Linked DNA regions of Alligator mississippiensis. The protein of the gene in region 3 purifies or fractionates together with the protein of the main gene of each other region. This does not show direct contact. Links are inferred from orthologs where the notes say so. Each region holds a gene or a part of one and is shown on either strand. Other genes may lie near its edges.

What was found.
Region 1: the proteins of TULP3 (region 3) and SIRT1 purify together in Homo sapiens (affinity purification with mass spectrometry; 5 studies listed by BioGRID and IntAct, counting the BioPlex papers as one, with this or other methods). This does not show direct contact. The link is inferred for Alligator mississippiensis from reciprocal best matches to the Homo sapiens genes TULP3 and SIRT1.
Region 2: the proteins of TULP3 (region 3) and TTC21B purify together in Homo sapiens (affinity purification with mass spectrometry; 5 studies listed by BioGRID and IntAct, counting the BioPlex papers as one, with this or other methods). This does not show direct contact. The link is inferred for Alligator mississippiensis from reciprocal best matches to the Homo sapiens genes TULP3 and TTC21B.
Region 4: the proteins of TULP3 (region 3) and IFT140 purify together in Homo sapiens (affinity purification with mass spectrometry; 5 studies listed by BioGRID and IntAct, counting the BioPlex papers as one, with this or other methods). This does not show direct contact. The link is inferred for Alligator mississippiensis from reciprocal best matches to the Homo sapiens genes TULP3 and IFT140.

The regions. Positions count from the first base shown.
Region 1 is NC_081829.1:54,462,267-54,469,906, reverse strand, and holds the start of SIRT1 (NAD-dependent protein deacetylase sirtuin-1), read right to left. Parts: upstream 3,004-7,640; 5' UTR 2,878-3,003; coding exon 2,463-2,877; intron 1-2,462. UniProt on the Homo sapiens protein: NAD-dependent protein deacetylase that links transcriptional regulation directly to intracellular energetics and participates in the coordination of several separated cellular functions such as cell cycle, response to DNA damage, metabolism, apoptosis and autophagy.
Region 2 is NC_081827.1:216,635,562-216,643,306, reverse strand, and holds the start of TTC21B (tetratricopeptide repeat protein 21B), read right to left. Parts: upstream 3,016-7,745; 5' UTR 2,952-3,015; coding exon 2,928-2,951; intron 2,811-2,927; coding exon 2,681-2,810; intron 1-2,680. UniProt on the Homo sapiens protein: Component of the IFT complex A (IFT-A), a complex required for retrograde ciliary transport and entry into cilia of G protein-coupled receptors (GPCRs). Essential for retrograde trafficking of IFT-1, IFT-B and GPCRs.
Region 3 is NC_081827.1:143,895,517-143,903,109, forward strand, and holds the start of TULP3 (tubby-related protein 3), read right to left. Parts: upstream 3,002-7,593; 5' UTR 2,731-3,001; coding exon 2,690-2,730; intron 1-2,689. UniProt on the Homo sapiens protein: Negative regulator of the Shh signaling transduction pathway: recruited to primary cilia via association with the IFT complex A (IFT-A) and is required for recruitment of G protein-coupled receptor GPR161 to cilia, a promoter of PKA-dependent basal repression machinery in Shh signaling.
Region 4 is NC_081836.1:29,248,347-29,256,138, reverse strand, and holds the start of IFT140 (intraflagellar transport protein 140 homolog), read left to right. Parts: upstream 1-4,777; 5' UTR 4,778-4,865; intron 4,866-7,792. UniProt on the Homo sapiens protein: Component of the IFT complex A (IFT-A), a complex required for retrograde ciliary transport and entry into cilia of G protein-coupled receptors (GPCRs).

The DNA.
Region 1 (7,640 bases), on a different chromosome or scaffold from region 3:
TAACCTTCAAGAAGCTTTAGGACAGCATGATTAAAAATCCTTTACTTTTCACAACTTGCATATCAGTTGCTCAACTTCCACTCTTTTGGACCCAATATTGTTATATTAGTTCTTTATTGACACAGGCCTTATGATGTAGGAACAACTTAGCAAAGAATTTCAGCAAAGATAAAGGACATGGCTTTCAATGCATTTTAGACTAATGAAGTTCAAATTTGAATTTGAACAATTTAACTGGTCACACCATGCAAACTGCCTTTTCTACACAAGGCTTCTCAAATGTTTTAGATGCCCAACAAAATCAGACAGAGCTGACATTTGATATTTCTGAATTGAACACACACTAATGGCCACAAAATACCCACCTTTTTCCTTAAGAAAAAAGAGGGGAGGGAACAGTTTATCAAAAAAATCCTCCATACCAAAATCTGTTGAGACTTGCTTATCTCTTGACTGTATAAGATCAGAATACTTAAAGCTAGATATATCTCAAGTCTTATGATTACAAATGAAAAGCAGAAAATATCAAGTGCCTGTTATACAAGGTAATAGTCCTCTCCCCTTTAAAAACACTGTTATGGACCAGGAAAAAGGAGGATGGACAAAATTTCAAATTCCAGTCTACAACATTTTAAGTGCATGTGAGTGTTATTTTGGTACACTTTCTTGCTGTTACTTTATTCACTGGTTTGGACAGTTTTTGCTCCCATTCCAATAGTTATACCTAAATCAAAGTACACATCTCAGAGAGAGAAAGAGACACATATTAGTTCATGCAGTTTTGTTGTAGTGTTGTTGTAGCTCTGATGGTCCAGGAAATATGCAAGCAACAAGATTTTTGGTGTTACCTTTTATCAAACTAGCTGTATGGCACAAAGTGCCCATCTTCAGGTCTAACATCTATCATCTCTCCCAGCTGTGCAGCTAGTCTAATAAAAAATATCCCTCCAGTTGTTTTTTTGCATGATTTCAATGCATGGGCATATAGTTTATCATGTACACAAGTGTCTCCATAAGGACTATTTAGACCCACAACTATCATTCTTATATTGACCAAAATAGACTAGAAACAAACTAGTTGATGCGACTGTTTAACAATTATACTTTCTGCAAGTTTCAGAAATCTTTCAACTATAAGCAATATCCCAAGACCGATAAATCAACAAGGAGACTTCTCCTAGGCGGAACCAATCACAAATTTAAAAGGTATACATCTAGGATAAGAGTAGCTTGGGCAAAAAGGATTCAGTACAAAGCATTTATGAAAGAACCAATTCTACATTGTTCTCTTCTAATAACATTTTGGATTGATAATCCTGCTCCAAGGTATTCAACCTCTGCTCTTTCTTATCAGTGCAGGCCATTAAAAGCACTATAGTACATAAGCAAAAGTGAAAATTTAAGATTTAAGCATGTCCCAGGGCAAAAATTGCTTGTGAAAGATTTAGTGTTGATTTACTAAAAATATGTAAATTCAGTTCTTAAGGGCCTCCTGTCTAGGCAAAGACACCATTTGTTTTAGAAGTACAAAGGAAACTACCTACAAACTGGTACTGCCCCAGTAGTTCACCTCAAGTTGGGCCTGCCAAGATCCTTTCAGAAACTAATAGTTATAGTTTAGTTTTCATGCCCAGGGTAGCCAACTACACAAAATATTGGCAAGGCAGCTGCTTAGTGGATCATGTCCCTTATAGGAAGGTTTCCAAGAAACAAAACACAAAGATGAACAGCCATACACAGGAACTTAGAAGGGCAGAAGTAGACCAGAAGAGCAGCTTTTTAAAATGTTTAATAACTGTAGAGAAACATGTTTACTACAAAAATTGTCAGGCTGCTTGCTCACAGAAGGCCAGCCAAGGGGACTGTGAAAGCAGAGGTTGGCTGAAGTTAGTAAATCAGGAATACAGAGCACTGACACAGCCCAACCCAGCAAGCTGTAGCTATTTCTCAAAGGTGGACAAGTTTGATTTCACTCTGTTCCCTTCCGAGCAGCAGTAGGTGAGTGCCTCACCCTTTGCTGAACAGCCCTAGGCTGAAAGCGTCATCTTTCACCTCCAATCCCTGGGGGCTGGCAGCCCCCAAAGGGCGGCCTGCCACTGTCAGCACCTGGAGGGCTGAAAGGAAAGGGAGAAAAGGGAGCGGATGCGAATGTAAACATAAAGGCGCATGTCGGGCTTCCAGCCCCGGCGGCTGCGGACAGATGTGCCCTGGCGCCCTTAGTAGCAGGATGGGCGCCAAGGGACAGAGCAGCTCGCGGGCATGAAGCCGCTAGGAGCAGAGCAGGGGTGCAGGGCAGAGGCTCGGCCCAAGCCCGAGGGGGCCCGCGGCTCCCCCCCGCTGCACCCAGAGGCGCGGGGGCGTGGCGGGGGCGTGCGGCTGACGCGGGGAGGCCGCGGGCGCACGAAGGGGCGCGGCCCAGGGTCCCTCCGCTCTCCGGTCCGGGGGGGGGGGTCGGTCCTCACCGGGATGCGGGGCCGGCGCCTCGGCCTTCCCGTTTGAACACTGCGCCCGTCTACAGCCAATGGCCAGCTCCGCCGCGTCTCCGTCGGGCGCCGCCTCCGCCCCCTCCCCCCGGCCCAGCTGCTGCTGCTGCGGCGACTGCGGCGGCTCCGCCCGGGGCAGGCCACGCAGCCCGGCCCCATTGTCCGCGCCGCTCCAGCCCGCTGCCGCCTCGCCCCTCTCGGCGTGGGCCGCCTCCCCCGGCCGCTCCATCGCCGGCCCGACCCCGCGCCCCGGGCGCAGCGTGGCCGCCGCGCCCCACCCGCCGCAGTCATCCTCTGAGTCCCGGCGCTGGCGCTTGGCAGCGGGCTCGGCACCATCCGCCGCAGCGCAGGGGCCGCAGCGGGGCTGAACGACCAGAGACTCCTCGTCCGCCATCTTGGAGCAGCAGCAACCGCCGCCTCCCCCGCCCGGACCAGCGCGCAGCGGCGCCTCCGCTGCAGCCCCCACCCCAGGGAGAGATTTAAACCCGGCACGTGACCCGGCCGCCGCCCACGCGGGCACCCGCCAGCAGAGGCCGCAACAACAACAAACCGGGTCACGTGGAGGGGGGGGGGCGCGCTGCCGCTGTCACGTGACCCTCTAACCGCTGGGCTCGCGCACGTGACCCACGTCTTCGCCGCTGGCCTGGAAAGGGGGCGCGGCCGGGCGCAGGGTTACGTAAGGCTGCTGGGGGGGCGGGGCCGGGGCCGGGCCGGGCCGGTGCGTGGGCCGGACAACGCTTGGGGCGGCGCTTGATGTCAGCCCCGCTGGCCTTGGCTGACCGTGTGCGGGGGAGGGGCGCTGACATGAGGCCATCGCCCTTCGTTGGCCTCTCGGCCAGGGGAAGCGGCTCGGACGGGGCTAGTCAGGGCGCTCCAGTCCTCTCCGCCTGTCTCGGGGGCTCCCGGAGCGTCTTGCCGGGCTGCAGTTGCTTCCCTTCCCGCCCGACCCAAGGCAGGGCTGGGCTGGGCTGGTCCGGTCCGGTCCCTGCGTGTCTGTACCGCCCCGCTAACCTGGGCCTTCAGTGGCGGGTCTGACACGCCCCAGCGTGGAGCTTTCACGAGAGGAAAAGCTTAAAGCTTGGGAAACAAGCCCTGTTCCCCTGAGCAAAGCAGCTCCTTTGGGCTGGGTGCCAGCTGACACCGCTTTCTGCCCTGGGCTGCAGCTTTCCATCCCGCTCCCTCAAACTTCTTGCGAGGGTATGAGGAGGCAAAGCCACGAGATGCTTGGGAGCTTACCTGTCAGCACTGCTGCCTTTAAAAATACCTTCCATGCCTTGAAAAGAGAGGGAGAAACTGATGAAAGAAAATAGGAGGAAGGTTACCACATTGTTAATGAACCCCTCAGCTTATGTTCCAGAAGATGGCTTAGTTGTCTATTTGAAATACTCCTTTTCCAGTTTCTAATTTAACTCTGGGCAGCAGTGGCTCCAGCCTGTATCAGCAGGATCTATGGACCGAAGTCGCTGCACTTAACTTGTATATATTTTTCCAGTTGGACCTTAAAAACCAAAACCTGAAACTTAAGAACTAAATCTTTTCCATACAGTGGAAAGCCTCCAGCATGTTTGCAAGAACAGGGGTTTTCTCTGCATTTTAGGATTAAATCTATTTTTATGTTTTATACAATGGGATGGATGCACTTGAGTTGCTGATGGTTGTACCAGTTTTGGAATGATTCATCCTGGTCCTGGGTCCTAGTCCATCATTGTACAATAAATGTTCAAAATAGAGTAAGATCATTGATTGGACACCAGTTCACAAAAGCACTGAAGCTTGTGCTTAAGTCCATTTCGATTTGGGAAGGCATTTAAATGCAGTTTACTTAATTTTAAGTGGGACTTGAAAATATACCTAAAGTTAAGCATTTCTTTAAATGTCTTTATAAAATAGAAATGCATGTCTAAACGACAGCCTTAGATTGTGAACACGGGATGCGTCTACGAAGATGCTACTGTGCAGTCCTTACTGCACCTTTAATGGGGTTTTCAACCAGAGGTATGCATACCCCTGGGGTACTTTGGAAGGCCCCAGGGTGTACATGGCAGTGGTGCCAAGGAGGCACCCCCTTGCCTTGTTGACCAGACACCGGGCAACCCCTGGCTCATTGACCAGCCACTGGGGGTACCCCAACTAAAAAGTTGAAACCCCCTAATTAATTCCCCTGTATAATCAAGTACTAAATAAATGCACAGTAACTGGAGTTACTGCACAGTAGTGCCAGTGCACATCTTTTAGGTGATGCTACCGAGCAGTAGCCTAATAATCAGGGAGCTGGATTTTCTGTTTGCCATGCAAAAACATGGCAAAACCCAGATTTTCCCATTTTAAGTAGTAAAACCCGGATTTTCTCCTTTTAAGGAGAAAAACACAGGAAATGACAGAGTTCCAGCCAGCTAGCAACTCCCACAGGTAATTCAGGAGGGTAGATGGAGGCCCCCATAGTGAGAGGTGGATGGAGTTGGGCAGAGCTGGGGCTGCTGCCCAGTCTGGGTGATGCCTGGGGCCAGAATGCGGAACCGCAGGGGGTTGGGATGGAGCTGCAGGCAGCTTGTCAGGGGGTGGGGGAAGCTGGCTCCCCGACACTGTGCGCACTCCCAGGGGGAGGCATGGAAAGCACATGCCCCCAGTTTTGTGCATGGGGCAGGTTGCCTGCTGTGCGCTTGGGCTCCCTGCTCTGCTGTCCTCCCCCTGGGCACCTCCATGACCCAGCAGGTGGGACCTGGTGCAGCAGGGCAGGGAAGATTGACAGTCTAAGGCAGTGCTGCTGCTGTGAGCCAAAAGTCCCCATGGCAAGGTGTCCCCTGCTTGCCCAGCAGCAATGGGAGGCACAACTCTGTGCCGCCACCACCCCTGCTGCTGCTGAGCAGGCAGGGGGTGTCTCATCGTGGCAACGTGGGGCTTGCGGTGGTGTCACTGAGCTTCTTCACCCAGCTTCATTCTTCCCTGCTGTGCCAGGTCCCCCCGGCTGGGCTGTGGAGGCCCTGGGCATGGCAGGGAGCCTGCACCTGCCCCCACATGAGCCAGCCATGCTGCCTATGGTGGCGGGGGAAGCCAGGCTTCATACTCTGCTCCACCACAGCAGCCACTGCCTCTGATGAGCGGTAGCTGGGGCTCAGGTGCTGCTATGGGGGGCAGGGGGCTGCAGACCCATGTCCCTGGACCTGTGATCCTGTAGCTGTAGCAGCCGGGGGCCCTCTCAGGCAGGGCTGGGTGGGTGGGTGGGTGGGGAGTGAGGGGCACCAGCAGGGGTGGGGGGAAGGGTGTGATGGTTTTGGGGGGTTTTAATCAGAGAAGTTGCAATTTTTAAACAAAGAAAACCAGGATCCCTGCTAATAATACCATGCCGTAGCATATTAGCACTGTCTGTGCTGTGACATGCTACTGCGTAGTATTTTTCAGCTACTCTGGAGTCAGTGTCTCATGCAGACATGCTTTCTGTGTCTAAGAAAAGAAGATTCTTGATCCAGATGCAGGTTGTGCACAATTGAAAGATGATTCCTGATTGAGGCATAAATGTATTACTACAATAAGAATAATAAATTATAAATAATACATACATTTCACTACATGTCATTGTACACTTGCTATGTGCATAAATTATCCTTGAATGTGTTCTTACCTCTAAAGGTGGTAGATTATTTGGCTTTTAACGCATTATAGTGAGCAAACACAAATTGCCAATGCATTATGAATGTAATTTTATTTTTGTTCATGTCTTTGCCCTGTTGTACAAATTGCTTGGGTAATTTTTGATAAACAGAATTTTGGAAACCAGCATGTTGAGTCTAGGGGACACTTCGAAAATTTGCACACCTGGGGTTTGTGTAATCAGAGTTTACCATATGTTGTTTAAATAGAATATGGATTTTCTCATTAAAATAAATCCTTTTTTAATTGTTATATATTGCTTGAATACAATTGAGGTACAATTTTGAAAAGTACCTGGGGGGGGGGGGAGAGAGAGAATCTGTTGTATTTGTTGTTAATTAAAATGTTTATATAGATAAATAGTCTGAATTTGTTATTTTTCCTTCTAAAACGGTCGATCTTCAAACAAACACGTACACCCTCTCTCTGCCTCTGACACACCCCTGAACACAGGGATCAACAAGTAATGACCAAATCAATGGCTTGACATCACCTTTTGGTTTGTTTAGTGTATTTCTGAACGGAACTGTAGATGGATATGAAGCAAGTAGAGGCATTTGCTTTTGAAAAAAATCAACTCTCAATTCTTAAAGGAAAAGCACTGCATTTTCCCAGCTACCTGACTCTCTCTGTTTTAGTATTTCCTTATCTTTGTGCACACAGATAAATCTGAAAGGGGGATGATCTGCTTAAGTTTAATGAATGGAAATGGAAATATTTTTTTAAACTATGACACATGTTACTGTTAAAGCAATGACATGCAAATGATACATATTGACTAGCTATTAACAAGCCACCTATCACAAACTACTAACAGAATATCTGGGTTGACACTATTTCCTGGCACTGATATTTTTTTTAAAGAAAATGATCTCTAGGTTAAAGTTTTTCATGCTTGTTTTCAGCCTTAAATTGTCTTTTCTATAGGTAACATTGATATAATTATCTAGATGGTCGTTTTAATTGTCTTAAACAGCAAACTAGCTTTGCAAAATATATTCCTACTCTTTTTCTGGTCTCCAAAAAAACTGAAAAACAGCTCACTCCTAAAACTTTGTCCTGGTTGGAGTATCAACTTGTTACTCAGAAACATATACTGATATATCTAAATCTGAGTTAAATGAGATTTAAATTGGATTGTTTTTCTTTTTCTTCTCTTTTTTTTTTCCTACTGTGCAGGTCTGCAGGATGCTTTCTTATTTTGGCTTAAGAATTTTATTTCAATTAAATTGAAAAAATAAAAAAGTAAACACCCAATGCTTGTATAGAAATATAAAAATAGATTAATTTAAATACAGACATTTTGTTGCATACTTGTGTGAAGACAAAATCTTGTTTAAGTGGAAATGTGTGTTTTAAGATATATTAAAAAAGAACTGGGGGAGAAGGGAAGGAGTGGGTGTTTGAAGTTAGGTTTTCAAATCCAAATACCAGTTCAGATCTGGCAGACATGCTTAACTTTACACGTGTGAATGTTTCTATTTGAAGTCCCACTGCAGCAAGTTGGTT
Region 2 (7,745 bases), about 73 Mb from region 3:
TGCTGGTACTCACCAACAGCAGACAGTACAAACAAGCACAGGGCACTATCATAATGGGGATAGTAACTACAGAAACCCATCACAGACAACGAGCGAGAAGCAAAGGTCTACAGAGAAGACCGTATTTGGGTACATGTCACTCGCACAGTGCACTGCACAAAGCAGCTGACTGCAGGCTTCCACCACACCAATCTCATAAGAGGGACTTTTACCTCGCATATAACAAATTTTTGGTATAAAAAGGATCATTGTGTAAGAGCAAATTCACACATACAGAACCCGTATAAAGCAAGAGAAACCTGTAGTGTAAACAAACCCCAAAATACAGGTATCTTGCCAAAAAACAAGAGAATTATCTCTTTATAACTTTATTTTCCTATGTGCACTTTGTTGGTTTGAGTCTATTTAGAAAGACTCTTGGTCTAAAGGTGTAATGATGGGTAAATGAAAACTTGATAGCTAGCCATGCTAGCCTGAAGACAGGATAGAGATACACATTACAAATGAACTAAATAAGCTATACAGAGGCCATAACTTAAGCTCATGAACTTGAGCTCACTTCATCAGACACTGCGTAAGTAAAAATGTATGCAGTCATTATGTGCAGACAGACAGAGGCATGAACAAAACGTGCCCCTCGGTGGCTGGGGGGGGCACGGCAGTGGCAAGGGTAAGTAGGGAACTCCTGCAGACACTGCAGGCGGGGGAAGAGGGGTGGCGAGCACCGACCAGGGGTTGGTGACCACCTATGGACGCTGCTGGCAGTGTCGATTGCTGACCACCTGCAGACACTGCTGGCGGTGATGGCAGCGGTGGGGGGGTCGCAGCATGTAGCGACTGCCCAGATACCACCCACACCCTTTTTGTAGGGGATGCACTGGCATGCTCAGGGGGTGCATGTGCACCCCCTACGCACCTGCCAATGGACAGAGGCCTGTAAAATGTAGCAGATATATCTTTCTATAGAAAAAGTGAAGTGCTTGACTATGGGGCAAGTAATGTTTCCACAAAACAGAGGGGAAAAAATATGCCTTTGAACCAGGGTGTAGTACAGTGATTCTCAAGCTGGGTGCCATGGAACCATGGGATGCCCTGAGATTCTTTTGAGGGTGTGGCAGAGTGGTACACAATGTTAGCTGTGTTAGGTGCACAGACACGATTCACCACATAAATGCAGAGTTTTCAAACAGGAATCCATAGTGACAAACCCATTATACCCTGCTGCAGCTTTCCAAGAGCTTAGCAACAGAGCTTGGCAAATAGTTGAAGGGCTGCCATAAAGAGAAGGGAAAGCACCTTTTCTATTTTGCTGCCCGGAGGAGGACACAAACTTTGGTTGCGAAGTTGCAGCACAGTAAGTTTAGACTGACCAGCTGGAAAAACTCCTTCACTGTTAGAACAGTGAGGAAGCAGAATAGACTGTCTATAGAAGTTGTAGATTTTCCATCACTGGAGATGTTCAAGAAGAGGTTGGACAGCCACTAGTTGGGGATTATCTAGGTATAGCTGTGCCCATGTTCTACCACGGATATTTCATGTGCTTCTGGGCTTGGCTGCTTGCTACGTATCAGGGTGTTTTAAGCCTTCTGAGAGGCACTGGTTATTGGCTACAACCAAGGCTGGGGCTTTTCACTGGGGTGTGCTAATGCTCCTGTTGGAACCAAAGCTGGAGGATTCTGGCTACAGGGTCTTGTCCATTTGCTCAGTGTCAGACCAATCGCCATATTTGGGGTCAGGAAGGAAATAGACCTCCCCGGTCAAAAGGATACAAAAAAACTGTTTGAGTTTTTGCCTTCCACGTCAGCACAGGGCAGGGCTCTCTACCTGGGATCTTCTGAATATGCATTGACATTTCATGGAAGTGGGATGCTGGCTGCCCTGCTCTCCCTCTGGCAGGCTGGCACGCTGGGCTGCGGTGTATCAGAGCTGAAGGTCTTACACAGAGTTCAGATCAGTAGGAGGCAACCCACGGCAAGCAAAGGCACGCGCGCCTCGGGGAAGGGACTGGTGCTGCGCTGCCGCAACAAGGATCAGGCCCCTCATGGCTCTACTGCCACACGCCCCTGGCACACCAACATTTTCCAAGCCAAGGTTGTGGGTATTTTTGGTACTCTGCCCAAAACCAGTGCTGCCCCCTGGTTTTATGTATGGTTGTCAGGCATGACCTCTGGAGGTCCCTTGCAGCCCTACTCCTCTATGACTAGGGGCACTTTTACACGTGCTCTGGGGTTGCAGGGAGAGCTGCGCTTCAACTGGAGCAGGGACGCTGATACATGAGATGCAGAAGGATGCTGGAGCGCGGCAACTGCCACGCTGCAGCAGACTCGATGAACCAAGTCTACCCCGATACGCTGCCTCCGCGCTTGTGTCCAATCCTAGGAAGAGAGAAGCCGCTCTGGTAGTTTTCCACAAGTCAAAAAGCCAAGTGAGGAGGAGAAGCACGCACGCTCCGAGGGGGCCCTCGAGTGTAACCAAGGCCAGCCCCAGCGTACTGAGAGGCCCTGAGCCTAACACTGCACCGCGGGGCCGGCAACACCCCGCGCTTTCCCCCGGGCTTCTGCCAAGAGGAGCTGAGCTCGGGACCAGCGCGTGCCCCCCTCGCCCCACCAAAGCCGGCAAGGAGCCTCCGCCTCAGCTCGAGCACGAGCCTCGGGGCTTCCCCGACCCCGCCGCCGGTTACCTGCCATGAGGAGGCCGTAGGCGCGGTAGAAGAGCAGCACGGGGTCGCCAGCCGCCTTGCGGAGCCCGTCCTCGGCCGCGGCCTGAGCGTGGCGGAACAGCCCCTCGCGGCAGTAGTAGCTGATCGCGGCCTGCAAGGAAGCAGCGGCCCCAGTGAGCGCGGCCGTGCCAGGGCGAGGTGCGGTCGCCGCCCCCGCCGCAGTCCCCGCGCCCTCCCCCCGCCCTGGGGCCGCCCCGCGCTCACGCACCCGCTGCTGCTGCGCGGCGTCCATGGCCCAGACACGCCGCGTCTGGGGCTGCGCGGCCGCAGCAGCTGTAGCTGGAAGCTGGAGGGGCGGGGGGGGCGGGGTGGAGGGGAGCGGAACCCGGTTCCATTGGCTGCTGCCAGCGGGGGGGCGGAGTCAGAATAAGGCGCCCGCTCCCGTTGGATGCTCCGGAGGGAGGGGCGGAGTTGCGGGAAGAAAATGTGCGTCTAACGGGTAGGGAAGGAGGGAGCCAAAGCATTTATCCCATTGGTTGCCAGGAGCACAGCGGTGGGACCTAGTGAGGCTCTCGCATCCTGATTTGACAGTGGAGCTCGAGGGCGGAAGTTGACAGATGTGGGGGGAGGCCTGAGCGCCCTCATTGAGTGAGAGAACCAGTCGGGTGAGGCGTGGGCGGGGCCGGCAGTTGCCTGGAGACGTGACGCGCCGCTGCCCGGGGCAGCTCCGCCAGGCCCGGCGATCACCACGGCCCCGCCGGCGCCTCTGCGGCCTCGTCCCGTTTCAGCCGAGCGGAGTAGGAGGTGCTCGGCCCAGCCGCAGCGCGTGCCGGGGACGGGGAGCAGCCGGCAGCTCCCCCCAGGGCAGCCACTGGCAGCGCTCGGGCTGGTGCGGGCCTCAACCTGCCTCTTTCCAGGCACATCGCACCTGCAGGTTGCTCCACGCGCTGATGCTTCAAACCACAAAGTATTTGTGCCTAGAGGGTTTGGACAAGCTCAGAGGTACAGTTCAAGGCAGATCGCCCTGGCGCACGCCCCTGCGTGTGGGGTTAGCATGGGAAAGACGCTCCTGGTGGGGGTTGGCCTCAGCAACCCCCCCGGGCTGCAGTGGCCGCGATCTGGGAGCACGGGGCCTGGCTCTGGCCTGCCTTGCTCCGGTTTGGGGCAGTGCATGCCACCGCTGCGTGCACCGTTCGGCTTCTGTTTCTCAGGTGCATGTTTTTTGACACTGGCATGTCAGGGTTTCAAAATACCCACCACACTGCAAATTAGCAGCGTGGTGAACGCCTGCATGTGGTCCCGTGCGTTTTGCAGCGCCACCAGCCCCACGTGCGCTACATGCTCGTCTGGACGCACCCTGGCAGCCTGATACCACCCAGCCACAAGCCATGCGCTCCACAGCGGGAGGCATGAGCAGGCTGCACCTTGGGAGACAGGTGTGTGAAAGCATGTGAGAGTCAGTGAACATTCACTTTGAGGTAAATTTGGCACTGCTGAGACTGAACCTACCTGCTTTTCAGGGTTTCATAATGTATTCGCAGCTGTTTTTTACTCAGTGCATCGCTTTGACCCAGTCATGTAACCATAGAGATACAACGTGGTAACCGCAGTCAGTGCACATGGGTAAAACACTCCAGTCCTGTGAAGGCTTGTCTAAATATCTGTTTCCACTGAAGGAAAAAAAGCAGATGCTTTGAGCTGTGCACAACAGGGGGTTATGATTTCTTCCTCTAAATAAAAAAAGATTTCCCCCGGTATATTCTCTTTCTGTATTCATGATTACAGCTTGGCACTAGCTAGTCAATAGTCCAATTTTCCAGTACTGCTGTCTGCTAGAGAATGATCAGAGTTTCTTGAACGACTAGATTGATGCCTGCTAAGGCCTCCGGAAACACCAGGCCAATAAGTAGTTTTGTTACATGGGTTGAACTGTGTCAAATTACAAATCCAACTTTATATGACCATTTGGAACATACCCAGGTATATTATCTAGTCCTTTATCTATCCCAGCACTTTGGGTAAAAGTGTTCAGGGGGGAAATTAAAAAATATCACTTCACACTTAAAGTAGGTCACAGGCATTTTTCTGCGGCCAGTAAATAATCAGAATGTGAGAAAGCCTGGGATTTTTCAATTCTGTTGTCAGTTTACATTAGTTTTGGCCCAACATCAGTTTTTATCTATGAAAGTGCTTAGTGATGGCTTCTCTCCTATTGTAAAAACTGGGATCAGCCCAGGTTCCACCACCTTTAAGTATCCAGAATACAGGTATTTTAACAAAGAGCCTTTTTCTCTAGTTGAAAACCTTAGTTTAGCTGTTGTAATATTAACTCAAGTGTAGAATAACTGACTGAAGTATTGGAGACACTGACAAGATGCTCAAGAAGGCTAGATTTTGTTTAATGAATCTGAATACGAGACGTGCAATTAACTATAATAACTACAGAACTAATGACACAATATCTTTTGGCTATTTTTACCTAGTTTTTTTTTAATGTTATATAAAATCGAGCAATTTATTGTGCATTCCTGTAGTTATATTTGTTTTTGCTTTGAATTTAAACTGAATAATATAGCACTTGCATATTAGTAAAGCATCTTAGTTTTCTTTAACTGGCAAAAAATATGTTGTGTTTTGTGTAATAATTTATCACCTATCCCAGGAAGAACCCCACCTATCCTTAGGAAGAACTTCACAGTTAGAGTGGCCAAGGTCTGGAACAGGCTCCCAAGGGAGGTGGTGCTCTCCCCTACCCTGGGGGTCTTCAAGAGGAGGTTGGATAGGCATCTAGCTGGGGTCATCTAGACCCAGCACTCTTTCCTGCCTATGCAGGGGGTCAGACTCGATGATCTATTGAGGTCCCTTCCGACCCTAACATCTATGAATCTATGAATATCACTCTATCTGCACCCCACTTTTCAAAATCCTTGATCTGCCCATGGCTGTTAGCTACAGAACCTGGCATGCCTTAATCATGCTACCTCAAGAAGTCATCTAGGCACTGGAAGACCTTTGATTTTTTTTTTTAACATTGATGTGTTCATCCTGTAACTTGCATATTCTAATATTATAAAAGCCTTAGTCTGTCTTTCTGTCCATAACAGTTTATTCACACTCTGTTGCACACATGCAATTAATCTGATTTACTATACCTTGCCTCACCTTGAGCCAGAGTAAACTAATCCCAACACCACCAACTACATGTGCATATAAATGCAGTAATTTATTGCACTGCTGGATATCACTTGCATCTGGTGGAATGAGCTGGCAGTGCAGTAAGTTATAGACTACTGTGCTCTAATTACTACACATGTGATGCTTTACTGTGCAGCAAATTAGTCTGTTGCACTGTAAAATGTCTCATGTAGACATACCCTTACTGTTCAAAAACTGGCAAAGATTATCCCTTGTCAATAGGTAATCTGGATGTTGCAATTATTTCTTCTCATCAGGGTCTTTTTTCTAAATTTTCTTTAAATGTTCAACATGGTGCTATTTTTGACAGTCCGTCTAAAAAAAACCACTTGATTGTACACTGTTGACAAGGTTAATCAATGAGGATGCTTGCTCATCTGTCCAAGACCAATCTGTGCATGCATTACCTCAATGTATGAGCAAAATCATTCAGATTTTGTCCCAGCCACCAATGAGCTAATTTTCATGTTAGATATTGAAATGGAAAAAGAAAAATGTTGATTTTTATTTTTCATAGTTTCATAGTTGGTAAGGTCGGAAGTGTCCTGAGCAGATCATCAAGACCATGGGCAGGAAAGAATGCTGGTGTCAAACGACCCTAGCTAGGTAATTTTCTAGCCTCCTTTCGAAGACCCCCAGGGTAGAAGCGAGCACCACTTCCCTTGGAAGTTGGTTCCGGATCCTAGCTGCCCTGACTGAAGTTGTGCCTCCTAATATCTAGTCTGTATCTACTCTCAGTCAACTTATGGCTGTTATTCCTCGTTATTCCCGGTAGTGGTCGGAGGAACAGGGACTCTCCCATTGCCTGCTGGTCCCCTTTGGCCAGTTTGTAGATGGCGACCAGATCCCCTCTCAGCCTTCTCTTGTGGAGGCTGAACAGGTTCAGGTTCCTTAGCCTCTCCTCGTAGGGCCTGCCTTGCTGCCCCCTCATCATGCGAGTGGCTCTCCTCTGGACCTTCTCAATGCTGTCCACATCCCTTCTGAAGTGCAGTGCCCAGAACTGGGCACAGTACTCCAACCATGACCTACCAGTGTCACATAGAGGGGGAGGATCACCTCCTTGGACTTGCTCGTGATGCATCTGTGGACGCATGACAAGGTGCGGTTAGCCTTCCTGACCACGTCATAGATTCATAGATGTTAGGGTCGGAAGGGACCTCAATAGATCATCGAGTCCGACCCCCTGCATAGGCAGGAAGAAGTGCTGGGTCTAGATGACCCCAGCTAGATGCCTATCTAACCTCCTCTTGAAGACCCCCAGGGTAGGGGAGAGCACCACCTCCCTTGGGAGCCCGTTCCAGACCATGGCCACTCTAACTGTGAAGAAGTTCTTCCTAATGTCCAGTCTAAATCTGCTCTCTGCTAGCTTGTGGCCATTATTTCTTGTAACCCCCAGGGGCGCCTTGGTGAGTAAAGCCTCACCAATTCCCTTCTGTGCCCCCATGATGAACTTATAGGCAGCCACAAGGTCGCCCCTCAATCTTCTCTTGCGGAGGCTGAAGAGGTCCAGGTGCCCTAGTCTCTCCTCATAGGGCTTGGCCTGCAAGCCCTTAGCCATGTGAGTGGCCCTTCTCTGGACCCTCTCCAGGTTATCCACATCCCTCTTGAAGTGCGGCGTCCAAAATTACATGCAGTACTCCAACTGCAGTCTGACCAGCGGCCGATAGAGCGGAAGTATCACCTCCTTGGTTCTGTTCGTCATGCATCTGCTGATGCACGATAAAGTGCCATTAGCTTTTCTGATGACTTTGTCACACTGACGACTCATGTTCATCTTGGAGTCCGCTAGGACTCCAAGATCCCTTTCCACTTCCGTGCCTCCAAGCAGGTCATTTCCTAGGTAGTAGGTATGCTGGACATTTTTCCTCGCTAGGTGCAGCACTTTGCATTT
Region 3 (7,593 bases):
CACTATATTTAGATGCACTATCATCATGACTGGGCTATGTCTAATTCAGCCAATACCACCATACAAGTCACCAACTGGACCTCCTCCAAAAAGGGGATTTAACTACTTCTTTTCCTTTGCTTTTGAAGGAGCCCTCTATCTACCCCTGTGCATTTTACTGTATTCCCAATTCCAACCATTCAATTAAAAAACAAATCAAAGATCAGGTCCCCCAAAATAAAGTAAATAAGATGCTCTAAACTTCTTGTTATGGGTTTTGTCCTTTAAGATTCACATTTTCCAGCTTTTCTCTGCAATGGTGGTGGCAAAAAAACTAAGAAAGAACAGATTCTCCAGGAATCATATTGCTATGTTAGAAACACCAAGATTGCAAGAACTGGCACTTTTATTAAGCTGGCTCTGGGAGACATCCAGAGGTTGCTTGACAGGCAGCCTAGTGCTACATCAGAAGAAAAGCTCTATTTTCTTCATCTCCCCCACCAGGCCCAGGCCAGCCACATCCCTCACAATGCCCCCTCTTCAGTGACCCGGGTGTCATCCCTGAGCAACAAGGAGCCCCTGGGACTTTTTCTCCCACTTGTGCTGAGTGGTATGCGAGGATGGTCCCATTATCCAAACTGGATTTTGCCACGCTCATGCCGAGCCCTGACCACCAGCGCCCAGCGACATCGGGCAGCTGGAAAGTGAAGCTGGCACTGGGGGCAGCTGTGGTGCTGGGGGCTGGTGCCCTGGCATTCTGGTGGTGGAGGAGGAGAGGGCAAAGGCCGGAGGGGGACGAGCATGAGCTCTACAGGATTAGATCACTTTATAGGAACTTCCCCAATGATGGCGATGCACCGAATGTTAGGCACCGAGCTGATGCCACGCAGCTGCATCCCACCACCAGCCAGCTCCCTAGAGGGGATGCAGTCCTGAGGAGGCAGGCCCGCCAGCTGGTGGTGGAGTGACCGGACATCAGCAGCTGCAGGACCAGAGGCCACAATTCCAACTGTGGCCCTGGGACCCGTAACATCCAGACGGCTCAGCAACACCAAGAGAGACCTGGTGTCAGCCTTCAACACGCAGAAATAGACCAGTATCCCAGTGCCAGAACGAAGGGCGGATAAATCCTCGCACACTTTGAGGTCAGGGCTGCAAGATGAAGCGTGGCAATGCTGTCCAGGCAGGATTTCGGTAAGTACGGCATGCTTTCAGTCTACCTGGTCCTCCTTATGCTCCAGGATAGCAGATAGGTGCAAGGTTAGGGCATGACTCAGAGCAGTGGTGGCAGGGTGGAATCATAAAAGGTACAAATGCAACTGTATTGAAATTGTACATCACAGGAGATTTAGATTCTTACGTGGGGAAAATGTCATGGCAGGATTTCATTTAAATCAAAAGCAGTATGTTTTTACCTGCCCTAAGATGGCAGGTGGGTGCAGGGTAAGGGTGGGAAGGGACAGGCCACAGGTCAATTTACTATTTTACTGGAGGTGGTGGGGAACCTTCTTCATTTCCCATCACCACCACTGCTACGATCAAGTTGTGACAGAAAAATCTAAGCTGTGCTTCCAACAGCAAGTTCACTCAGGTCAAATATTCTGAAGCCCTCCTCAAAAAAGCAAAGGAAACTGGTCAACATTAACAGTACCACAAGCTATGCTCCCATCTATCTGAGCTCATTCAATGCGCATGCTTTTTTTGGGGTGGGAAGGCAGGGCAGAGAGCGAGCATGTGAGCAGCTCTCAGAAAAAATAGGGTTTTTCTGGAAGCAGGACAAGCAAGACCAAGTGAAAAGACAGCTCTCACTGGGTACAGAATCCTTATCCATAAAGGCATCTGCTTTGTACATTAGTAACCCTCATCTTTGTCACTTCCATTAACACTGTACCCCTTACTGCACGGAAGCAGTGTAATGTAAAGCAAATCCCATTTGCTCCCCGCAACACTCCAAGTCACCAATTAAACTGATGGCAGAAAGCCTAACTCGGCTGGACATTATGACTTGATTTCCCTCTTGTGCCTATTATAAAATAATTCATTTAGAAAGTTACATTGGTTTATTCAGTGAGAGAAATAGGAATCAGCAGCAAAGAGGTTCAATTAGATGGGAGCTTTTTACCCATGCCCCAAGTCAGACCTCCTGGAAGAGTGACTGTAGGAGCTACCCAGAGGGAAGAAACAGACCAATTAAGACTTGCAGCCTGAACAGGAGGCTTAACAATAAGTCCAGCTGGGGGCTGTGTCAGAATAGGGACCCCAGAAGACTTAGACACCTGCCCATTGCCTCCCATTACCTTCTAAGGCAGGGCTGATGCGCAGGGCAACAAGCATTGAGTTCTGCTCTCCTGCCCCGGCACTGTGTGACCTCATGGAGGGACTGGCATTGTACAGACCGAGAGCCCTCCTTTGAGAGGGGCCGATGGCGCTCTGGGACGCACCGCTAATCACACCACCAAGCCGCCTCAACCCGCGGGGCGGGGCGGGACGGGGCGGGGCGGGACCGGCCCGCCGCAGCCCCAACCCCTAGCCCCACCGCGCGCGGGACAGCCCAAGCGCAGCCCGCCGCCACCCTGCGCGGGGGCTGCAGAAAGGGATGGGGGGAGCCCGGAGCTCCGGGTCGCCCCCACGTGCAGCCCCACCGGGAACGCCCCCCCGCGCTGACCGGGCGGCGCAGGAGCCTCGTGCTCCAGCCCCGGCCGGGCCTCACCTGCCCCCGCAGGGCGCCGCGCGGCCCCTCGCGCTCTCCATCCCCGCCCGCGCCGTTGCTATGGGAGCCCAGTCGCGCTAGCTCGGCTCCTCTGCTCCCTCCGCACTCCTCCCCGTGCCGTTGCTCCAGGCAACGGCACCCGGCACTAAGGCGCGGCACCACTGGTGGGAGGCGCAGCACGGGGCGCGCCTATTGGCTGCGGTCGAGAGGGAGGAATGAAAAGAGAAGCCACGCATGCGCACCGCGCGGGGTGGTGCCTTAGGCGCCGCCCCGCCCCGCCCCGCCCCGCCCCACCGAGCCCGGCCAGTGGGGGCGGGGCTGGAGGAGCCCCTGGGCGACCCCCCCCCCCCCCCCCGAGTTCCATTTAACACGGGGCATCGCTGTGAATAGCAGCCCCCTGGGTATGGGGGGAGCTCAGCTGCATGTAGAGCAACCCCATGCACCCTCACCCCATACCGTCTTGCTGGAGCAGCCCCTACTGCCCAGCTACAGGGGCTGTGGCTTACCTGCCCTAGGGAGTCCAGCCCCCTCCCCCCCCACGGCTGTGTGCCTTCCCCAGCTCCTATGGCCAGGCAGTGGGGGCTTTTCCAGCTCAGCTTCTAGGGCTGGGTAGTGTGGGGTAGCTCCAACCATGTCCCTGCAGCCAGGCTCATGGCTTCCAGCTGAGCTCTTATGCCCTGAGCAGGTAGGGCTGCTCCAGCTAAGACTGGGAGGAAGGAAAGGGCATCATTCTGGCATCCCCTATGTTGGTACCCTTCTTACCTCACTGCTCTTAGTTAAGCTACTGCCAGGAGCAGCAAATTTGAGGCAAGGATGCCTCAAGCTGGACCACCTCCCCCCTCCCAGAGACATTCACAGCTGGACCACACAGTGGATTGAAGCACCTCTCGGTGGGAGTAAGGAGTCTCAGCCTCACTGGGGCTTAGGTCCATGCTTTGAACAAGGCATCTCTCTCTTCATCCCTGCAGAGTCATCTCCCAGTGGGACCTCCTTGCATTAAGCCACCAGCACAGAGGAGATGCAGCTGAACTCCTGTTCTGCTCCAGTCAGCAGCTGCCTGTACCTGGGAGCTCAGGTCAGTACTGGCTCATCTTCACCATGATGTCACTATTGCTTAGCTTCCCCTTCTTTCTCAGGTATTTCAATAGGTGAGGCCGTTGCCTCCAAGTTACCTTCACTCCATACTGGTGTTCTGGGGTGTCCTTGACTAGTGATGTTGAGTCATGGCTTTCCAGTCTGTCAGCACAGACAGTGACATCACTATGTGCATACAGCGGGAAGGTATTCACGGGTGACACAGTGCCACTCTGATCAAGGCTCCTTGCAGATGACAGTTCTGGAGTCTGTATATCTGGTGGACTGAAGATCTCTAGCTCTTGAATAGGAGACTGAGAGGTTCTCTCTCGAAAGCTCTTTGGGTTGCTGGCTTTTGTTGCAGAGCCTGTCTTGGGCTGGGCATGGCATGCCTTTGCATTAGTTTTGGAATGCCTTGTGCAGGTACAGGTAGAAGTTTTTGGATTCTCAAAAGTTAGAGAAGGAAATCTGCAGACAGCAGGTTTCTGACCAGCTCCTCCTCCTTGAAGGAATCCATAACTCTTTTCCTGGATCTGGAAGTTTTTGGACACATGCTTTTGCTTCTTACCTCCCTTGCCCTTGAAGCCCATGGGTAGAGTGGCTTCAAACTGCGGGGACACCTGAAAAGCCAAACAGAGATGGTGAAAAACCATTCTCTCAGATGGGATAACCCCTCACACTCCTTGGCTCCTCCACAAGGAAACAGCAACACCATTCTCACTGCACTTCCCCTTTCTCTAATGTATCTATTGATCTTCATTTGAGAGCTGCCGTTGCCTCTTCCAGCACGTGGTCTAGTTTACCGAGATTTCCTCAGCTGCAAACTATGTTCGACACTCAAGACAGCATGAAAAATTTGGAGGCTCACATAGCCACAAAGTGCAGTTCTACTCTGAAATGCAGTTTTAAATGTGCTATCTTCTCTGAATATACTTAAATGCATCTATTTTAGTGATAGAATAAATCTTTAATTGCTACTGAATCCTCCACAGTTCAAAGAGCAGGTTGGATTCTGTTTCTTCTTGTGTTTTACAAACCACCAGTCTTGTTGATACAACCAGGAAGACAAAGCAGCAGCACAGGTGTAACTGACACCAGAATATTAAAAGGCAAGTCACCATGTTAGCCTCAAGCTAGGCAGAAGCCAATCTCTAAAGGTACCACCACCCTGTCCTGTTTTCTGCCAGAATATTGTAGGTGAAGGATAAGTATTAAAGAGGCCTAACTGGATTCTTAGACCCCCAGCTGAGGTTGTTTCACTGCACAAAACACATCTTATTTATAAAAGGGACATTTATTCTGCAGTAATGGAGACAAAAAACATAGAATCCACACAGCCATTTTTAGAGACTTTTCAAAGAAGACTTGCAATTCAAAGTTTTTTTTTTAATAATTAAGTCACCTATTATAGGGGTGAATTCTGATATTGTATTCTTAAATTACTCTAGAAACCACCAGTCTCTTTCATGCATTAAATTACTGCGCAACATTTCACAAGCCATAACCTAAGTCAAACAGGAAAAAAAAATGGCAAGTACCTATCCCACTGTTTTCGAGATTTCCAATCAAAACAATTGGAGGATACACAGGTTCTACACACAGGGGACTGCAGACCCCAGGAAATGTTTACGACTAGGAGATTCATGCAATTGAGATTCAAGTGATGAAATGAGGCCTGAGACCTAACTTGGGATTCACTATAAGTAGTCAGGAGAAGTCAGAGGAGAAGTTAGCCCAATAACTGCAATACTAGTTACCCAGCCATTACTTCTCAGACATCTCCAGATATTGGGATATTTTCCAATGTGTTCCAGATCCACAGTGATTCTCTCTCATCTCAGCAAGTGCTTTGCTTATTGATTTAGAAGCCATATAGCTGACTGCCTGCAACATGTTTAAAGTTGATCTGCTCTGAACTTCTTTCCGCCCCCCCCCCCGCAGCAAACAACATAGAAATTGACCTCAAATAACTCCAATTTGCATGGCTGGTGGAGTGTTCAAATGTATACTTGAAACCTCACTCCTTGGGGCTGCTTTGTTAAAAAGTTTTGAGTCCAAAGTAGCAATGCTATTTAGCAGAGCTGCCCAAAGTGATAGCTGCAGCTAAAACCAAGGCAGTTCCCACAGTACAGCAGCACAACTATTTAAAAATCTTTGCACAGAATGGCATCATGCAGGCAGTGCAAATGACTGCAAGACTGAATAAAACGGACACTGAATTGCCCTCTCAGCCCATGGGAGGGGGACGCTGGAAGGAATGCATGGAAAGAAGATTAAAATACAAACTGAGCTGGGGGAAGGGGAAGGGTCAAATGTACCAACCTTCCCTTCCCTTGCAACTACAGCTCATTACAAGGTACAACATCAATTTTAACTCCATGCCACAGACATCAACAGTCCCTGGTTTATTATTGTATGAATGACAGCAGAAAAGCAAGCTGTTAAAGTAGACATAAAAATAAATGCTAAAGAGAAGAACTACAGTTAGGGGCATACAAAAATGGAGCTAGCACCTTAACTGAACAGCAGGGATCCTGGTTTTCTCCGATCAAAACAATCCACAATTTTCAGATTAAAAAAAAGTAACCAAAATCCACATTTTTCCATGATCAAAATGAAACACTACTATATATAAATTAGTGGCATTTCATTTTAATCACAGAAAAATGTGGATTTTGAGTTACTTTTTTAAATCTGAAAATTGTGGATTTTTTTTTTTAAACAGAGAAAACCAGGATCCCTGTTGAACAGGCAGGTATTACTTTAGGCATAGCTTTCAGCCAACCACACTTACAGCACAGTAGCTATTTCAAGTATCAAAAAAAAAAAATCCATAAAATAAAAATGAAAGAATAAATATTTTATTTTCTGTGCACAGGGTTTTGAATTACTATAAAATCCATAAAGCAATTTCTCTTTCTGGATCCCAGTATTCAATGTCATTATGCTAATGTACATGACATGGAGTTCTGTTTCATTGCCAGTGGCCCTAAAGTATCATTCAGTACCTGAAGTGGCAATAAAGCTTGAGCTGCTTGTGACTTGCAAGAGTGGGCTTTGGAGCAACTCCGAACTCTACAGCTAGTTAAACCACAAGGAAATAAAGAAAAAGCACCCATTTATTGGCTCGTGCCAATATCCAGTACAGATCTCTCCATTACCTTGTAAAAGAGAAACAAAACAAAACACTGTATGAAATGAAGGAGCAGGAAACCTGTACTTACCCACTCAGTAGAGGCATTCTGGTCTACGGGTCTGGTAGGAACACATCTTGGGTTCTCAGCCAAAGGAAGAGAAGACCCATAATGATGAACAGATCCCTCCCGTGGCCTCTCAAGGAAGAGCAGCTCTGGCTTCTTGGCCTTGCGGGTGCATTTTTTCTTTGGAGGCATCAAAAGGCTTGAGGAAGCCACTTAGAGACTTCATGATGCTTGCTGGAGCTAGTCAAGAGAAGAGGAAGACTTCTCAGCTACTCCCAGATCTGCAAAGAACAAACGGAGGGACCTGAGGCCACCAAGCAATCTTGAATTTCTTTTAAAAAGTAATGCTTCTGATTGTGCCTAAGCTCTCTGAAAAGAACTGTTTCTAATGAAGACTGGAATAATAAATACATTGCTCTACAGACACAGAGCTAGGCTGGATACAAATTGATGACTTTTTCAGTTTAAGTTAGAAATGGCAACCTACATTAATCCCTACATTGTTGAAATCCTTTAAAACAAAAGAAAATAGTAACGTGGTGCACACTGCCCACCAACACTTTAATGTGAAACCACCAAACTAGGTGGCTACAGAAAAGTTTGCTGAAGTGCTGCGCCAGCTTCTGTGTG
Region 4 (7,792 bases), on a different chromosome or scaffold from region 3:
ATGGCAGATTGGGGTAAGGAGCAGAAAATAGAGGAAGGGGGTTAGAGTGGTGCTTGGGGAGGGCACAGGCTTAGTTTGTGTCATGCCTGCCAAAAAGGTTGGCTCCCGCTGCCTTAGATGTTTTCTCTACCAAGGTATGTAATGGTAATTTGTGAAGGAGGTTTGAAAGTATTTTCACTAATATACTATTTCTCACCTGTTTTCAGATTATTTCTACTGTATAGAGTATTTTATGCACTTTGACTTAAATATTTGTTGCCAGTAAAATGATCCCCAGGCATCTTTCACTTTGTACTAATTGTCTAAGGGTTTTTTCTATCTTTCACTGGCAACTTAGTAATTTGTTAGAGAAATAATATAACATAACATACTTGAATATCATTCTGAAGTATGTTAAAATGTTGTGAAAATCTATATTGCATACATTATTCAAAGGATAGGTTAATTTTCTTCCCAATGTTTTTTAATTTCTTACTCAACAATGGGGTCATTACAACAGACAGGAAAATGGGGTTAGGCTATATTATAGTTTAACATTCCAAGTGTTAAAGGTCAAAATAATTTTACAAATTTAAGGTTGGATCCTGTAGCTGAATCAATCTGGATCCACTCCTGACTTAAGCAAGGAGGGTCTTAGTGCAAAGAATCTGGACCTGCACTGTAGCCTGTAGCAGACAAATGATTATCTCAGGAGAGGACAGCTTGTACTTTATCCTTTTGTGGTGTATCACTCTTTACATTAAATTGTTTAAAAAGTTGAGTAAGTATTATGCTCATTTTGCAGATAAGGAAATGTGTGTATTTATAGTCTTGTCTGTGCTGTAAAAACAAGAGTTTTTACTACAGAAGTTTCTAATCCAAGTTACTGAATAAAATTATAACATTGTACAGTAAATAACCTTATTTTAAAAACAAATATTTCCCAGTCTTTATTTCTGCCTTAGTGTTTTGGTCTTATACCATGGTTTGAATAGCCATATGGGTCAAACCAAGGAGGCTTGAAACGTGGCTCTGTCACAGCTGAAGTTAACAAATCGAACAGGATGCTTTTTATATTTACACAGTGTGTAAATTTACATGGTGCTTTACTAACCTACACAATTCAATGCATTCAGATCTCCAAGGAGCTCACAGTGCAGGACCTCTGATCCTGCAAACATGCATGTGAATAACTTTGTATGCCTGAGTAATCCTAGCGCTTCTAGTTGGACTGCTAATGTGTAAAGTTACTTATTTGTGAGTTTGGAGAAATTGGACCTATTTAAAACACAATTTAGACAAGAACTGAGATAAGAAGCTGGTGTGGAGGCTAAAGACATTTGAACTTTCCTTCATTCTGTAGTAGATAGGGCCCAAAAAGGCAGGCCAATGATAAACTTGTACAAACAAAAAATAGAATGCAAATTAACTGTAAATTTAATGTTACATTATCACAGTCAAAGTGGCAATGTAACTTGGGGTTCACTGCATATCTTGTGTAATTTATGGCACAAATTATATACACTTAGTGTGTTAAAAGAACAGGGACAGAAAATACTGTGTGTGCAATGCAGCAGAACTAACATCGCCATAGAAACTTAAATTCTTATTTTTCCTCATCTTAATTGAGATGCAACCTTTTAATATTTGCATCAGTTTTCTAGGTTTATTTTTATAAAGTAGTATAGTATATGGCCAATAATAGATTTTTCTTAATCCCTTTCCCAGCTATAAAAAAGCCATCAGTATATAAAACATACTTCTGAATCTTTTTTTGATCACCTTATATTTGATACCATGACATGTCATTCATGACATTCTTTTCTCTTAAGGTATTTTCAGTCATTTAACTTTATAAATTATTGTAGGCAGTCCTCTTGTTACTGTGGCAGTTTCTGTCCTTTCCAGTTGAGGTAAGAGGACTTAAAACAGAGGTCAGATCTCCATTGCTGATCCTCCAAAGTGTACCAGGATGCACCTGGACATGACAGAGTGCTAGCAGCATTCTTTTAAAACCAGGGATGAAGGTGTTGGGTGTTGCCCGTTATTAATCAGAACACTCTAGCAGCCTTGGATAGCTGACCTAGCACCTTTTGCAAGGGCTAGATTCAGAGAATCTTAACATAGGAGGAGGAATCCTTGTGATTTAAAGTATTAGTCCAGGGCTTAATATGTCTGTTTAGAATGCAAATTCTGCAGCAGTGACTGCGTATTGGATATTTGGGGAAAAATCTTCTCATTGTAAGTGTAGTTATTAGTTAAGCACTGGAATAGATTACCCAGGGAGGTTGTGGAACAGGTTAGACATCTACCAGAAATGTTTTAGGCATACTGGATCCTATCTTGGTCGGGGAGTGAATTAGACTTCTTGAGATCATTTCCAGGTTTACCTCTCTAATTCTGCTTGTTTATAGAGTGTATATCATGTAGGGGGATTCCAAGAGTTGAAGCAATAGTAGAAATACTTTTTACAGGAAGTCCTCATCTTGTAAATAAATCTAACATTAATTGAAGTATTGTTAAATTCAGGGTGCACCAGCATTCAGAGCTTTTTTTCTGCAAGTGCCCATCTACATTTTTGGTTATGATGAAACTTTTGGCCTCCTTTATAATATACACCATCTCTTTTCTGATGGAATCACATAATTCCAAGTCCCTGCACTATTTGTGCCTAATGGGGTGTGATGCATCATTTGAATGAATGTACATGGTCAAAGCTGGCAGCTACATTTTGTGCATATAAACCTGAAGTTACCATTTAAAAATTAGAAGATAAATCATACCTTTGATTATTTGTTTAAATGTTGGCCATGATCCTAAGACTCTGATGCATGGGTTTGCTATGACTTCAGTGGGGCTATGAATAGCCACAGGGATGTGCTCATACAGACCATTAGGATTAGATCTTAAGGAGTTGCACACCTTCTAGGTTAATATACACCTCCTAGTGCTGCCCATTGGTCTCAGAATGACCCACAGGTAGCATCTGGGGCCTGCTGGATGGTCTCTGCTCCAGTTTGTGCCCTGGAGAGAGAGAGAGTGGCTGCTGCATGGAGTGCAGCCCCTGCTCCAGGGGCATGCAGCACAGCCCAGTGGCAGCAGCAGCTTCAGAGCTGTGCAGCACATCCAAGGAGCAGCCAGAGAAGGACTGGACCATGCACAGCACCCTCTTTGGCTGCTCCAGGACATGTGCTGGAATGTAGGGCCAGTCTGTAGGTCTGGTTCAGCCTGCAGACCAGCCCCACATCCAGCAGACTGAATAAGTTTGATACCTCTGCTATATATTAACTATTATGCTTGGATTTTTTTAAAAATGTTATTTTTTTACAGCAAAACATTTCAGTGATAACATACTTTGCCTCCATCTCCCAACTCTTCCCCAAACCAAAAAAGGTTGTGCCCTTTTTAGAGGTTGCAAACAGAATTGTAGAACTGTGATATTTAATTAAGAAATATAGCCTCTCATAGTAGTGCATGGAGGCTTCAGTCAGATCAGGCCCCATTGTGTTAGGCACTATGCAAACATAGTTGGTGACTTGAAGAGTTTACAAACTAATGTATGGATTTCCAGATCGGAGCAGTCTCATGTCATGTTTAAGTCAATGGAAGCTGCGTGTGTTCATCACCTTTGACAACCAGGCCATTGAATATCCAGTCTCCTCTGTCACTAATAAAAACAGTTTGGCAAATGCTTCTCCATAGGGTTAATTGACACAGTGTTGAAAATGGCTGCTGGTGCCAGAGATGTACCTATTAGGGCTTTCAGGCCTCATAGTCACTGAACTCTCTGAAGTAAGTAGGTGTGAGTTTGCATTAACATGTTCTCTACAACTCCCACTGGTTTGGGCTTGTATGGAAGAAATGTGCTACAGTGGCTAGAGTACTATAGTAAGAATTGGGAGACTTTCTAACTAGTTGTACAACTTTAATCAAGTCATTTTGCCTCTGTTATACTGCTCTCTTCCTTTGCAAAGCGATCTGAAATGTGCAGAAGAAAAGTATTTATATAAAAGCAAATTATTTGTGTTATGGAAAGGAACATCTGCATGCGAGATACTGCTTTGTGCCCTGACTGTCTAACACCAGCTGTCTTATGTCTTCAGTCCTAGTATGACAGTCGGTAGCAGCAATCCCCCAGTTCAAGGGCTGATCTCTACCACAGCTCATTGATGGGTCTTGAGCCACAGATCCAGCTGCAGAAGCTGCTGGTCGTTCCATGGGTGTAGGCTGGGATTCCTCTCCTTTGAGAGTGACCTTCTTCCTCTGCGGACACTCTCTCAATGTCCCCTTTTCGATGCTAATACAACCTCCCCCGACTGTGCTCAGGACATTACTTGAAGCACTTCACCGTTCTCTTTTCATCCGAGACAAACATGAACACAAATTCGGTCCAGCGCCTTCCGGTTAACGACTCTTGGCGAAAGGGCGTCCCTCACCTGCAGCTCCCGGCTGTCAGCAGGCAGCTTGGCCCGAGCTCAGCACCTGTCACCGGCATCGCTTGCCTCGCATCTTCCAGAAAGAAGGAAGATGATGATAAAAGGCTGTTTCTGTCTTCTTTGGGGATCCTCAGGAAACAAAGGGCTTCGAGACGGTGCTCCCGCGGGGCTGGCGGGGTGCGGGTATCCCCAGGCACCCGGCACCCCTGAGCTGGAGCGACCGGCCCCCTGCCACGCGCGGCTGCGGCTTCTGAGCTTCCGTGTCTGCCGCCGGGCCGGCTCGGGCGTTTCCGTGACTGCTCGGCGCTCCGGCCGGGCCGGCTCGGGCGCTTCCGGTTCGTGCTCCCCCCGTTGTCAGGGGTAACGCGAAGCATCATGGAGCCAACGCGGCGGCGGCGGCTGCAACCGAGGCCCTGAGCGGCTGCGTCCGCGCTCTCGGGGCAGGCGGCGGTAGGAGCGGGCAGGGCCGCGGCCGGGGGGGGGGTCGGCAGGGCCCGATGCGGCCCCCGGGGCTGGGAGGACCCGGCTCGGGCTTCTTCCCCTCGTGCTGCTGCGCTGCAAGGGGCCGGGCCGCGGCTCCCCTGGGCCGCGGGGCTCGGCTGGCGGGCCGGGCCGCCGGTGTCGCAGCGCTCTCTGCAGGCGCCGAGCGGCTCCGTCCCCTGTCGGAGCCGCCCCCGGGGTGCTGCCCGCGGCTTTCGCGGGCCCGGCGGAGCGGGGTGAGGCGCCCGTGGCACAGAGCGGCGGGGCCGGGTTTCGGGCCCTCCTTGCTCCCTCCAGAGCGCCTGTGGCCGGAAGGCCCCGTGCGCCGGGGTCACCTGCCTGCTGGGCCGAGGCCAGGAGCCGCCCCGCCTCGCCCTCCTCGCGTCGCCCTTTGAAGGATCTGGTAGCCCCCCAGGGTGCCCCATATCCTGGTGAGAATCATGGGGTGGTCCGTGGCCGCCGTAGTCTTTGTACTCAGAGTGCCTTTAAACACGGCTGCTAGTTCTGTTTCTCCCCTTTTTAAAATAAAACTTGAAGAGGGCAGCACTTTGCTTCCATGTTGTAGTCTGTGGGGTGATAGAGCAGCTCCCACAGAATCATTGAAAAGGAGAGCCAGAAGGGACCTCAGGAGGTCATATTCAGTCTAAGCCCCTACTCAAAGCAGGACCATCCCCAACTAGATCGTCCCAGCTAAGGCTTTGTCTAGCTGGGTCTTAAACATCTCCAAGGATGGAGAGTTTACAACCTCTCTGAGTAACCTGTTCCTGTGTTTTTTTACTTTTACATACCATTATTGGGCTTTGTTTGTCAACTAATAATTTAAAAACACAAACATCAGGGAAGTAGGAGGCAAGGTGGGTAAGAAGAACGGTCGAATGGGCCAGTCCTTTTGCTCAAAAGGAATAAAATGCAAAACCAGATAATGGGGAAAATGAGGAACCCAGCCCTGTCACTGACTTTGTTCAGGCAGAGCAGTGCAACACCCTCCCCCCCCCCCCAAGTTTTGTGGGGGCTTGTCTGCCCACATGAAGCTCATTGCACGTTCAGGACCCAAATCACTAGTATGTTTGTACAACATGCATCTTTTACCAATCAGAAGCTGTAGATGGGTAAGAGTGCACCAAAGGAAAGTAGTCTTGATCATGCAGTTTGAAACCCAATACAGAGTTTGTAGATCAAGGGACAGATACTATTTCCCCATCTCAGATTTGTCATTTTTGCTCTCTATATAGTATGATTTTATAAACCCATTAAAAACACACAAAACAAAACAAAACTTTGAATTAAAAATTTAAGAGGATTTATGATGATTTCTTAGAGGTAATTGCAGAATCTCTTAAGGAAGTCCTCACATCCTTTCAGAAAACCAGATCTATTATCTCTGATGGATTCATTAAGGAGCTCAAGTCTGTAGCCAAGCACAGTTCAGTAATGGTCAGACTTGTGTAGGACAAAACAACCAACCAACCCCCGCCCCCCAAAATCAAAACTACATTCTTGGTTGACAATTGAGGTGTGATCCAATACAGCTGATGGTATTACATAGAGAATATAAATAGCTTGAAGAATACAAATCAAAACTGATATGCATATATTTAAGTGGTGCAGCAGCTAGTGCCAGCTCTTCAAATAGCATGCTGGTTTGTTGTGACTTGAGCAAGCTTAAGGTAAAAGGTGCTGCATCAGAATCTCAAAAAACCTTCCTTTTTGAAAAAGTTTTATTTTTTTATTAAGATTCCAGTCCTATACTTGATGCCCTTCAGACAAATACTTCAGACCATGACTGAATAAGAAAAAATAAATCCCCTCCAAACAATATACATAGGAGAGCATAATGTTCTCCTAAACATACAATTATCTCCCTGAGGAGAGGTGAGAAAGTTAACTTCATATGATGTTAATCGCATTGCTGTGCACTTTTGGCAGGTATGTAGTTACTAGTTATGAGGAGATATATAGAAGAAAAAAAAAAAAAAGTATTTAGACTGCTATGCTGCAAGTCAAGTTCCAAAAGATTATATAACAAAACATTTGGGGAACTTTTTTTTTTAATTCTTATAGTACTGGTTAATTCTTCTAGTCTTAGACCAGTGGTTGTCAGCCAGGGGTACACAGAATGGAAAAAAAAAAAAAAAAGTTAGAGGTGCACTAATACATTGGTCCCATCAGATCGGCACAGATAAAAGGAAGTGACAGTATCGGCAATCAAGGAATTTTGTGGTGGCTGAAGCCCCCGCATTGCTTCCCTTCCCAAGGCTGCCACCTCCCACCCTGAGCATATCTTGGCCCAGCCCCCCTGCTGGGAAGAGCCTGGCACCCCCTTGGTCCAGCCCACAGTGGTAGCCTGCCCTCACCCAGCACAGATTCAAGGGCACACCTCCCCCATGCCCTCCTGGGGTGTGTAGTGCCAGAAACCAACCCCCCCTGCATCTCCCATATGAGCTGCCTGTGGCTCAGTCCCATGCTCTGCCCCAGCTATGCAGCACCTGCCCCAGCCCCTCCCCCCACAACAGACTTACCAGCCAGATGCCACATATTAATAATGCATTCAATGTTAATTAGTATAGTCTGCCTGTGACTAAAGGAGTAGAGACCAGCCTGCTCCTTTGTCCTTGGAGGAACTGCCTGCCTTTCTCCTGCCATGCCAAAATGTTCTATTGTTTTGATGTTAGCAGGTGGGAGGCAGGGGTTTAGGTGCCCAACCCACCTTACACCAGGGTGGTTCTCAAACCTGACATATAAGTGACCCTGTCCCACCACAGGCAGGCCCACCCAGCCTCCCTATACCAGCAGGGTACAATTTCAGGGCATGTCCAGGACCAATAAGTCCTTTTCCTTCCCCATAGCCTCACCCTTACCTCTAAGATATTCCTAGAGCAGGAGCTCCACCAAGTGAC